Neurospora crassa OR74A: one gene and its partners. The protein of the gene in region 1 binds, or shares a complex with, the protein of each later gene. Links are inferred from orthologs where the notes say so. Each region holds a gene or a part of one and is shown in the gene's direction. Other genes may lie near its edges.

What was found.
Region 2: the proteins of NCU09119 (region 1) and NCU02807 are in contact, whole or in part, in a crystal structure (PDB 3ZIA), measured with the Saccharomyces cerevisiae proteins. The link is inferred for Neurospora crassa OR74A from reciprocal best matches to the Saccharomyces cerevisiae genes ATP3 and INH1. Residues at the interface, in NP_009595.1 of Saccharomyces cerevisiae: Met41, Arg42, Lys44, Ser45, Asn48, Ile49; in NP_010100.1 of Saccharomyces cerevisiae: Ser23, Ser26, Thr27, Arg31, Asp37, Phe39.
Region 3: the proteins of NCU09119 (region 1) and NCU03558 are in contact, whole or in part, in a cryo-EM structure (PDB 8F29), measured with the Saccharomyces cerevisiae proteins. The link is inferred for Neurospora crassa OR74A from reciprocal best matches to the Saccharomyces cerevisiae genes ATP3 and ATP15. Residues at the interface, in NP_009595.1 of Saccharomyces cerevisiae: Lys148, Leu152, Pro156, Asn157, Ile159, Lys160, Leu161, Ser162, Ile163, Asn164, Gly165, Ile166, Lys168, Thr172, Phe173, Gln174, Glu175, Ala177, Leu178, Ile179, Asp181, Lys182, Leu184, Ser185, Val186, Met187, Asn237, Arg240, Asp241, Glu244; in NP_015052.1 of Saccharomyces cerevisiae: Trp4, Arg5, Ile9, Ser10, Tyr11, Ala12, Ala13, Leu15, Asn16, Ala19, Gln20, Asn37, Arg38, Gln40, Thr41, Asp42, Ala43, Phe44, Tyr45, Thr46, Gln47, Tyr48, Lys49, Asn50, Thr52, Pro57, Ile60.

The regions. Positions count from the first base shown.
Region 1 is NC_026501.1:5,400,853-5,405,049, forward strand, and holds NCU09119 (ATP synthase subunit gamma), read left to right. Parts: upstream 1-1,331; 5' UTR 1,332-1,556; intron 1,557-1,635; 5' UTR 1,636-1,916; coding exon 1,917-1,972; intron 1,973-2,375; coding exon 2,376-2,956; intron 2,957-3,019; coding exon 3,020-3,153; intron 3,154-3,238; coding exon 3,239-3,367; 3' UTR 3,368-3,669; downstream 3,670-4,197. UniProt on the Saccharomyces cerevisiae protein: Mitochondrial membrane ATP synthase (F(1)F(0) ATP synthase or Complex V) produces ATP from ADP in the presence of a proton gradient across the membrane which is generated by electron transport complexes of the respiratory chain.
Region 2 is NC_026501.1:9,057,071-9,060,533, reverse strand, and holds NCU02807 (hypothetical protein), read left to right. Parts: upstream 1-1,476; 5' UTR 1,477-1,668; exon of another isoform or gene 1,669-1,831; 5' UTR 1,832-1,861; coding exon 1,862-1,977; intron 1,978-2,074; coding exon 2,075-2,206; intron 2,207-2,399; coding exon 2,400-2,439; 3' UTR 2,440-2,832; downstream 2,833-3,463. UniProt on the Saccharomyces cerevisiae protein: Endogenous ATPase inhibitor, which inhibits specifically the reverse ATPase reaction of mitochondrial F(1)F(0)-type ATP synthase.
Region 3 is NC_026502.1:232,610-236,223, forward strand, and holds NCU03558 (hypothetical protein), read left to right. Parts: upstream 1-1,346; 5' UTR 1,347-1,488; coding exon 1,489-1,520; intron 1,521-2,224; coding exon 2,225-2,342; intron 2,343-2,532; coding exon 2,533-2,619; 3' UTR 2,620-2,966; downstream 2,967-3,614. Other genes in the region: NCU03559 (ubiquinol-cytochrome c reductase complex core protein 2), read left to right, coding at 1-364, 428-523; NCU03557 (amino-acid N-acetyltransferase subunit Mak10), read left to right, coding at 3,442-3,478. UniProt on the Saccharomyces cerevisiae protein: Mitochondrial membrane ATP synthase (F(1)F(0) ATP synthase or Complex V) produces ATP from ADP in the presence of a proton gradient across the membrane which is generated by electron transport complexes of the respiratory chain.

The DNA.
Region 1 (4,197 bases):
CAGCCTTTTTAATAATAAAGTCTTAATAGATTCTAACTAACATAATTGTACAGCCAAACCACGGAATGTTCTTAGGCAATAATAGCCGTAAGGTATATAGATATTGAAACTCCTATCGAAATTCGCGCTATTTTGATACGCAATATAACTCATCAATAGCAAAAAGACCGATCCGTTTATAGAATTCTAGGGACCGCAATATAGCCTTAAATTTTACACTTATCGCAAGCTCTAGGCTCAGTAAAACATGGGTATAATCGCCGCATTGAATCTAGTCCTAAATATCCCGGTTCTATATACGAATTAGTAGGATTCCAGTATAAAAGGGGGGCAAAAAGCTTACTCTTAGAATTACGTCTTTATCTACCCATACTAGCTTTAAATCTAGCACCTTAGTAGCAATATCATTACGTTAACTTTCCCTAAGCTTAGTAAACAGTACGATTTATATCGTAATTTTATTATACAAAGCTAAAAATACATATAGGACAATACTTTTTCCGTAGCCCATTACCACAACTAATATCGTATCCTTTTATTCGCATACTAGCCGCACTACCACTTAAACCTAGCCTTCTCGAGGCTCTCTATTATTACTAATAATATTTTTCATAACTCTTAGTACGCATTAGGGATTAATAGGGGCATTAACATCGGAATCTATAGCATTGAATGTAGTACTAATAGAATAAAAATTCGAAGAAAAAAAATAATACATCGCAAAGATAAGCGAATTGTACTCGGAGGATAAGACAATTGTAATAATCATACCTACAAAATTTCAAAAAGTTGAGATAAAATATAGTATTGTAGTAAATAGCTAGTCGGCCAACTGACATGTGTCAACACCTAATTTTTTTACGTTTATACAAAAACTTGGCACTTTTATTGGACGCATTAAAAAACTAATTATACTATTAGATTCGTCTCGTCGAGTAGATTCTCCCTATACCCATTAAAGTTCCAGAACTTCCTTTTTTATTTTATTATCATAGAGTCTTACTGGGAAGTTAGTGATTTTATCCCAGCCTCTACAATTCCTATCTGATTGGGAACTCAAACCTCTTTTTTAGGCGTTCTCAATCAATACCGTTAAATATACTAAAAGAATAGATGCACGGACCACAAGTCTGAAAGATTAGAAAGATTCAATTTGAATTTCCGGGCGCGCAGCGCCCTTTCCATTGTACGCGCAGCGCACGGGCCGCAAGCCCCCTTCCCGGCCGCAGGCCGCCCATGCCCAAAAAAGAGGTCTGATTCTGAGATAAGCTAAGTAGGCAGGTTTCAGTGAGGTGGATGGCACGGTGCCCAACAGGAACGGAACAAAAAGAGCTTTTCAAGACAGCCTTCAATTCCACAAGTGAGTTGTACCGCTTGTTCATCTGCAAGTGAGTAGACTGATGCCGCGGTGCAGGATCGCAGGTGCGGGCCAGACCGGGTGCCCCACCCACATGGTAGCTCTGGCAGCTGTCATGGCTGGCAAGAAAGTTTGGCAGAACTCGGCAGCAAGATGGCCTTCCACCTGTGTACATCCGGGCCATAGGTACACTAGATAGGTAAGTGAGGTGCTGCGTGGGGAGCACACCGCAGCTGGCAGGCAGCCAGTAACTAACCAAGCCAATGGCCGGGCAGCAGTCCTCAGCCATTGCCAGGCTCTAGCCGGGAAAAAGGCGAAGGCGCCCGACTGGGGACTGGACAGCGGCACGATGGCGAGCCACACCTCACGAAGAAAGCACGGCCGGAAAGTGAGCAGAGAGCGGAAAGTGTGGAACCGACCTCAGCAAACCTCTCACGCCAATTGCGTCCTATTCCTATTGATCACTCCCCCACGATCAATTGCCGCCTGAATATCAAGTGGTCAACCCCGGGCCACTCCTCTCCAGCAGGTCTCTCCCTCGTCAAATATCCATCTCAACATGCTGTCCAGAGCTGCCCGCCCGGCCCTGAGAGCTGGAGCCGCCGTCTCGTCCCGGTAGGTGCTCTCCCAAGAAAAAAAAAATACCATGTCCTTCTTCCGTAAGAGTGCTCCGTCCGTCTCCGTCCAACATCTCGCCATCTCGCCTCCGTCTGTTCGTCAACCACCGTGCACCAACCGACTACAGCTTCTCGGGGTCTTCGTCTGGCTCTCAGCTCTCTGTGCGACTTGGAAACGAATGCGATTGCGCCGCCAGGTCCCCGATACATGACGTCCGATATATGGAGGGGCAGCACAAGCAAGCAAGCAGGGAACGGGTCGGGTGGGGAGAGAGAGAGAGAAGAGGAGTTGGACACACACACACCCATACGCACACGAGAACGAGAACGGACACGCGATAGCCCCGACACATCGAACCTTGAGACAGAACATGCAGACTGATTGAAGGTCATGACAACAGAGCGGCTGCTCCCGGCGCGGCCACCTTCGCGACTCTCCGTGAAATCGAGACCCGCCTCAAGTCGATTCGCAACATCGAGAAGATCACCAACACCATGAAGATTGTTGCCTCGACCAAGCTCAACCGCGCCCAGCGTGCCATGACCGAGTCCCGCGGCTACGGTGCCACCAGCAACGAGGTCTTCACCTCGGCCGAGACTAAGCCTCTCGAGGCTGAGGGCAAGAAGAAGCTCGTCGTCGTCTGCTCCTCCGACAAGGGTCTCTGCGGTGGTGTCCACTCCGGTCTTGCGCGCTTCATCCGTCGCCGCGCCGCCACCGAGCCTGAGTTCGACATCGTCATCATCGGCGAGAAGGCCAAGGCCCAGCTCTCCCGTACCAACGCCAAGGACATCGTCCTCAACTTCTCCGGTGTTGGCAAGGACATCCCCACCTTCGTCGAGGCCTCTGCCATCGCCGACCAGATCACCCAGCTCAAGGGCGACTACTCTTCCGTTGAGATTGTCTACAACAAGTTCATCAACGCCACCAGCTACGAGCCCACCGTCATTGAGGCATTTTCTGAGGATGCCATCCTCGCTTCCCGTACGTCCTGTCGGCCACCGTGATGCCCGTCGAGGTTCAGTCAGCTGACTAAGTTATATCCAGCCAACTTTTCCGCTTTTGAGGTTGATGAAGAGGTCCTTGGCAACCTCCGCGAGTACGCCCTCGCCAACTCCCTCTACTGGGCTCTCTGCGAGGGTCACGCCTGCGAGATTTCTGCCCGTCGCAACGCCATGGACGTGAGTTCTCCTCCCGTCCCATGCCACCTCTTTGAAGTCGACAGCGGACAGGCTGCTGACGTGAATTCTCTTACCCCTTATCCAGAACGCTTCCAAGAACGCCGGCGAGATGATCAGCAAGTACCAGATTCTCTTCAACCGTACTCGCCAGGCCGTCATTACCGGCGAGTTGGTCGAAATTATCACTGGTGCCACCGCTTCGGCCGATATGTAAACAGCAGCCTAAACAACCGCAGTCTATTAATAGAAGACGAAGATGTATTGAGGGAAAAGGAGAGGGGACCTGAGTAAAAGAAAAGGGTCCAAAGCCGAAATCCATCATCCCTGTCTGCACTCTCAGTTGACATTCAACCATGCCGTTCGAAAGTGTACGAGTATGCGTGGTGTGTGGTATGTCTAGTCCTGGTCCAAAAAGCTGCGTGCCAAATGCCTTCCTTTGTACCAATCAAATGAGCTAGCCTTTCCTTTATTGTACCAACGCCTTCAGTCCATAAATTGTACCACTTCTTTCACACACCTGCCCACTCCGTCGTCAGTAAGCCTTGAAGACATAGCCGCTGTAGTTTCAGTCCACTCAACAAATCTCAGCTGGGATGAGCGCTTGTCAGATGCATGACAATGTCGCTCAGTACAAATTCGTCGGTAAATTCTCAGTAAGCAACCTGACCACGCCGCCGGCCAACTTTCATTCGAAATAAAAGCCGCAGACGGGTGATAAGGGGTGGGGCTTCCATCTCGATGGGTTCGTATATTTGTGAGGAGTTGCTTGTGTTTCCAATATCATCCTGTCTTATCCCGCCTCCATTCCGCGCCGCCGTCGCTTGTTTGGGGCGCTTGATGGGACTGAATGTGTGAAGAGCATGGGAGATGGGATGGAAGTTTCTAATCCTTTTCCGATGTTCAACGGTTAAAAGGACTGGCTGCTTCATTTGCTGTGGAGTTTTGTACATACTCACTTCCCCGCCTGGTTTTAGTATAGGCGACGTTTGCATCTATGCCCTTGGGACAATAATAAAGAGTGGAACAAAGAGTGGCTGTGTGTGT
Region 2 (3,463 bases), about 3.7 Mb from region 1:
TGAAAAACTCTGATAGTGATAACCCTCTGTCGTGGCAGTCACAAACACCACCATCAGCCCCTTCCTCCTGGTGGTGTTATTCAACAGCCCTATTTTCATCCCGCCAACCTGGAATCATACACGCAACGGATGGATGCCATGATTGAAGCGATTGGACCTTGGTTGCCGCTCCCTACCTAGATTCCGTTGTTCCATGAATTCCTATCCATCCGTCTCTATGGCATAAAGTGCCCGGCATATCTGGATCATGCGCTTAGTTCTCTCCACGGCTACAAGTCTCTATGTACTGCTGTAAACAAACCAATCGCTCGGATTCCACCTGGTGTCCAGCCCCTATGTCCTTAAACAAGACCCTGTCTCGCCTGGCCAAACGGGATCGGTCTCACGGTCTACAACTCTTGCTTTGGCATCATCTCTACAATTTCAAGAGATCTTTCTGCTCACACCCATCACGCTGAAGCCATCTAGAGACCATTCGGGTCTCGCCCTACATGTTGTCGCCCTCCAGATGTAACCGTTCCTATAGCATCAGCTGAGCTTCATCCCTCTCGCCGTGAGGTCGCTGTCCAGACCTCGATGGACAGGGATGGGCCCGCATTTATGATTGAGAGGATGGAGTCCACCCAGGGTCCCTTGTCTGACCTTGCTCAATCGCAAGGCCCTTCACGAATGCCAGGAACACGATGATCTCCGGCTCCATGGAGTTTGGCAAAATCCATGCCGTGGTAGTTGGTACAATACTATGATGCAAGAAGGCTGGAGGGGCAAGCCGCCCATAGAGACACTCTGAATGAATGATATAGAATTCGGGCTGGAACGGCTGGAGGGTTCAATGGGACTCCAAGTTGGGTTTGGGTTGTGCAAACCCACAGAGCCGCCCGCTTGCGCCAACCAAGATCTCACTGCCGAGTGTGTTCACAGCAGGTGGTGGCGTTCAGGTTGCAAAGTTGCCCTGCTTCTTGCGTGCTTGCAATCAAAGTCACAACATCACTGAATGAGACAAGTTGAATCAGGGGAGTTGTTGCCCTGGGCCGTTTGTTGACAAAACTAGGTACTTGGTCTAAGACACACGACGGAGTTTCGTTTGTGGTTGTCTTTCACTCCAGGGCATTGATTGACTCCAGATCATGATTGCTTTCGGACCCCCTCTCAGCCCCTGATGCGTCATTCGTTACCTCCCAGCAAGACAGCTGAAAGTGGGAAGAGGGGTGAGCTAGGTTTGGCGGGGCAGTGGGGTTGAGCGTGCCATGGAAGCTTGCGCAAAGAACACTGTCGAGTGTCGTCGCAACAAACTGCTGCCTCAGGCGAGAACTAGGTTTGTCTGATCCAACCCGATTGCGGTAAAGCTGCCAACTGTCAGCGACTGCCACAGCCGAGCCGTCAGCGGACAGGCGGAGCAAGTCGGCGCCAGAAGCCACGAGCCTTGAGCCTTGTCCCGGTATGGAAGGTAAGGTACGTACAAACCCCCAACCCGCGACGACATTCGCTGGAGAACAGAACCGAGCTTCGACGTCCCTGCGGACCCGAGAAGCTCCATCCCCGTCCCCGAACTCCAGTCTCCAGTTTTCGTCAGGTCATCCCAAGCAAGTGTACACTACGCAATTGGATCACCATCGCCTACACAACGTAATCGCATTGACAACTAACTCGACGATTCAATAGAAAAAGGTAGCTTACACCAACTTCCGCGACTGTCCAACTGTTGTAACACATCTTCTCCCATACATACACTCAACTCTTTTTAATCAAATCACCCATCAAATCTGTCTTCTGGCACGCCAACCTAAGAAAAGAGACCCCATCCGCTAAAGCTTAACCCACGTCACTCTAGTCCAACCAAACCACCAAACCAACCATCAAGATGCTCCGCACCACCGTCTCCAAGCTCGCTCGCCCTACCGTTTCCAGGGCGTTTGCGACCACCTCCCGCGCTCTCGCCGGTGAGACTGGTGCTCCCCCAAAGACCGGCGGCCCAGGGTGAGTTTTTGTTCCGCCGCGTTCCTCGCACGCGCACGTGGATACGCGGCGACTCCAACTAGTTCAAACCCGCTGACATCATACCCTCCCATTCCAGTGACGCTTTCCAGCGCCGCGAGAAGGCCAACGAGGATTTCGCTATCCGCCAGCGCGAGAAGGAGAAGCTCCTCGAGCTCAAGAAGAAGCTCGCCGAGCAGCAGAAGCACCTCAAGACTCTTTCTGATCACATGTAAGAACGACCCATCAGCCAGCCAACAGCCACCACCGGCGCATAGTCGCCACAAACACACCAGGCCGGGCGCGCATCATATGGGCCGTAGTCAGCTACGCACACCATCATCAGAGGAAGCCGGGCCTCGATTCTCCTTCACAAATAAAAGAAAGTTCTAAAAACAAGGCAGTTACTAACATTCGAGAAACAGTGACGAGATCACCAGGGAGCAGGGCGGCGAGCGCAACTAAACGAACAACAAGCAACAATAACAACCCATAAACATATTTTTTTTTCTTCTTCCTCTGCTTATTATCATTCCCTCTCGCGACGTCCCATCGCTACACACGCCACTACGCCTACGCAGTATGAATGCAATGAAATGAGAAGGGGCCAAGGATTTGGGGGGGTTAAGAAAGGATGGGACTTGGGCTACGGGGACGGACGGCGCGCCGAGGATGAGTGTCATCTTACACATATCTCAAACTTACCCCTTGTAGCAATATAGCGAGCAAAGCCATGATCGATGATCACAAAATCACGACCGGGGGACCTATGGACCTCACAAGTTGCATCAATGGGACGAACAAGTGTCTAAAGCAAAACCGTGACAGAACCGAGCTTATGAGAAAGTCCAAAACGAGTCGAACAGTTCCTGTGCTGCAGTAGGGGCGATATTGGGTTCATCGGCTTGCCCTTGAACCAGAATCTCATAATGCGGCTGAAGAGTAATGAAGTTATCAGGAAAGCAAGCCAGCCTACGTAGTTCCGTAACTAATTTTTTTTTTCAAAACCTAGTTACTTTGATCCAGACTCAAGACTCTTCATTATCTTAATGCCACTTACATGGAACATGAAAAAGAAAGCAGACGGGACGGTACTTTACTGAAGTATTAACAACTTCAAGTCCGTCTTATAAGAAATTTCACTGATACCCACCGACGTTCTGAGTCACAACAATGATGCTCTACGTCTCGGTTTTCAAAATGAAACTCCTGGCAGTCGGTACCTATATGTACAGTTCGGCAGTCCGATATGTATGATATTCACTCGACATCATATGAAGACAATATATCGAAAAAAACAGACACATGAACTCCCTTCCAGATGTAATGAACCCCTTTTTGGACTGTGGCCATTACCTTGAACCCATCTTGTTTATTGATTTTTGCTTCCACAACCTAGAATAAGTGGCCTAGCCCAGCCTAGCATAGCATAGCCTTTTTTCTTGTCTCCTAACCCATCCCAAAGCCAGACAGACAGACAGATCTCAGC
Region 3 (3,614 bases), on another chromosome or scaffold:
CCCCGGTTTCAGCCTCCTCGCCAAGGCCACCGCCGCCAACCCCGGCGCCGAGGCCTTTGCTCACAACTACGCCTACTCCGATGCTGGTCTCCTCGCCATCCAGATCACCGGCAAGGGTGCCGCCGTCGGCAAGGTCGCCGTCGAGGCCGTCAAGGGTCTCAAGGCCATCGCTGCCGGTGGTGTCTCCAAGGAGGACCTCACCAAGGCTATCGCCAAGGCCAAGTTCAACCTCCTCTCCGCCAGCGAGGTTTCCGGCACTGGCCTCGTCCACGCCGGTGCCAACCTTCTTGCCGGTGGCAAGCCCATCCAGGTTGCCGAGACCCTCAAGGCTCTTGAGGGCGTTACCGCTGAGAAGCTCCAGGCTGTATGTGTGAACCTACAAGAAGTTGGAAAAGAAAAAAAAGATATGCTAACAAACGTTCAACAGGCTGCCAAGAAGCTCCTTGAGGGCAAGGCTTCCGTTTCCGCCGTCGGTGACCTCCACGTCCTTCCCTATGCTGAGGATCTCGGTCTCAAGGTATAGACGTAGACTAGACTTTGGGGGCGCAGAGCGGGTTGTGCAATTCGTAGTTAATTGAAAGAGGAAATACCTAAACGCAGCGAAACGAACCGATTGAAACTGGAAAGGCGTGGATACTTTTTTGAGAAGACGCCAGGGTTGGGAGACAAAAACCAAAACCGTGTACCAACAGCAAAACCGGCCGGGATGAAGTGTGTTGTAGACCTTTCTCGTTGTGAAGCGGGAGATGAAGAACGAACGGCTGGGGACCGACGACTTTTTGTGCATATACAAACCTCTAGACTTTTTATCATTCCTCGCCACTACTTCTCTAGCAGAGCTATAAAACACAAAATGCAGCAGGCATTATTTCTTTTGTTGACATTGGATACCTGTTACAAACGAGGGTGAAATGTCAAGCTTAAGGAATGAGATGAGATATGCTAGTGAGTTTTACGGCGAAGATAAGTAGTTTGGAAGAGACGAGAATGCTTGAGCTCATTTGAAAGTTTACAAATGCGATAGCACATTCAATGTCAAACATCAATCACACAGGTCCATTCAAAATAGGTATCAGGGGTCGATGTTTACTTTTGACCTTGTTAGGTAAGCTGCCGAGCTTGCCCTGGCGGCGGCGGCGGCGGGCGCCCGTAGCTCCTGTTCCGTCACTGCATGGCATGGAAGGAAGCTTGGGGCGGCGTCTCAGTTGGGGGAGTTGGGGTCACAACTGAAGACAAAAAAAAAGGAGGGGCATCACGTGACACACGACGGAGCTTCGGGCAGCGGAGCTTCTCGGGTTCCCTGGTGTTGGATGTGGATTGGGTGGATGGGTGTGCCAGGGTGGGGACCAGTTTTGTCGAGTCGAGAGTGAACCGAATCGCGCGCAAGCAAGTACCGCAGCAAGCAGCAAGCAGCAGACAGCAACAAGTCTTTCTTCGTTTCACCGTCAAGACAACACCCACCCACCCACCCCACAATCTTCGCCCAACATGGTGTTCGCTTGGAAGGCCGCTGGCATTACGTGAGTATCTTGTCTTTTCGTTTTTATTGGCTTGGGGACGGGGAGAGGCAGGGCAAATAGGGCAGTTTATCGGAAGTGTGGGAGGAAGAAGACCAGAATTGCCGCGACAGAGAGAGAGAGAGAGAGAGAGAGAGAAGGATGGAGGAGGATGATGGGACCAACGAGCCTGCCTACCCACGAACGAGCTCGACAACAGAGATTACAACGATTACATGCGCCGAAATCTGGGGTTGTAATTGCCCCGCGACTTGAAATACGATCGATGGACGACAATCTACGGGCGACCTACAACAGGTGGAATGAGAAAGACTGGGAGAGAAAGAGGACGGAGATAACCCCAGGTCATGGACGACAGCAGGACCCAGGGAAACATTGAGGGAGATCAAGGAGAGAGATAATACACGACACACTTGGTCGAGAAAAGCGCCGAATGTCCATGACATGGAGAGACGGGCCCGAATGCGACAAAAACACCGGAAAGCGAGCAAGCGATGCGTAACGACGACTTCGAAGCAACAAAGCAGGCCAGCATTCATCCAGAGCTACGACAGACATACGCACTACAATCACCAGATAGCGCACGGAATGAGCAACACACGAGGATCAGGAGCAGGGCAAGAGGGGGGAACATAGCAGAGGGGACCGGACGAGAGAAAACAGTACTACAAGACAACGAAGGCTAACACGGTTCACGAAAATTACAGCTACAACCGCTACCTCGCGGTCGCCTCTCGTGCGCTCCGTCGCTCCCTCAAGGAGGATAAGAGAATCATTGCTGAGCGTCGTGGCGAGGCTGCCGAGGTCAAGTTCGCTAAGTGGTCGGTACGTAATAATCTTTTTGTCTTTTGGCTATCGGGGAACAATCAGACAAGAGAAGAAGAAAGAGGAGGGGGGAATGTCACGAGTGAGGAGACGGAGAGAAAAAAAATCATGAAGATGGATGGACACCGGCACTGGACGTAAACAACACGAAAGAGAAGCTAATCACACCCCCTCTCTTTCCAAACTACAGAACGGCAAGCCTGGCGAGACCGTCAACCTCAGCTCCGCCAACGCTGCCGCCGCCGCCGAGAACGCCACCTCCGTTCCCTCTTCTTAAGCGGATCGACACACACACAACCAACACACCGTGACGATGTGCTAGGAATGGTGGTGTAGTGGTGGACCGGGAGATGAGAGAAATAGGGTCATATCGCGAATCGCTCCCGCATGGCACTCAAATCCTCACCTCCTGCCGAGTGTCACTAAGCCCGAAGACGTATGACCTGTATCATCAAACATATTGGGGGAGCGAGGAAGAGAAACTCAATAGACGGTTTATTGGCATTTACTTTGTGAACTGGGTGTGACTGGTTGGAAGTGAATCTGAGTGACATATAAATGAACTTGAAAAAGTGTTAGAATGGGTGTGCCGCTCATTGACAGAGGTAACAGGTCCGAGAGTCGTAGATGTTGCACAAGGGATTCCTTTCCCTGAAGTACAGCGTCTCATTGCCTCTTTGGGCTTCATTGCATGATATGCAAAATACGGTAGGCGCTTATTCGACGAAGCCAGTTGAGTTGAAAGATTGGGTTCTTAAAAATAGAAAATGTGATCAATAAAGAATTGTTTGTCATTTCTTAGCAGCCTCATCAACCCACTGACAAGCGGAAAGTGAGGAAGCTTACCTCTAGGTAGGTATGTACCCGAAAGGGGAGTCGGTCGTTAACATTCGGGCTCACGGACGCTACCAGCAAAGAAGTCCGGGCAGCCAGGCACAGACTCAGGTTCCTCCCCTAACAGAGCCAAACATCACCCGACTTCCTCCACTCACCTAACCACAAACAAACAAATGTTCATCTCAAGTGCATACTAATTACCTTTCCTACGGGAGCCCATCCATAGCTCTTGTAAAAAGAAAAAAAAAAAAAACACAAGACCATGATCCCAGACGACCACCAAGCTGCAGTTCAAAGAGGTTTGTTTCTTTCGCTACAATTCCCAAAATTTCAAATATTTCAACAACGGCACCACCACTACCACACCACGTTGGGCAACAACCCCGCTATAACATTGTAATGACATCTCACTGACCTCCTTGGTGCCACCACCAC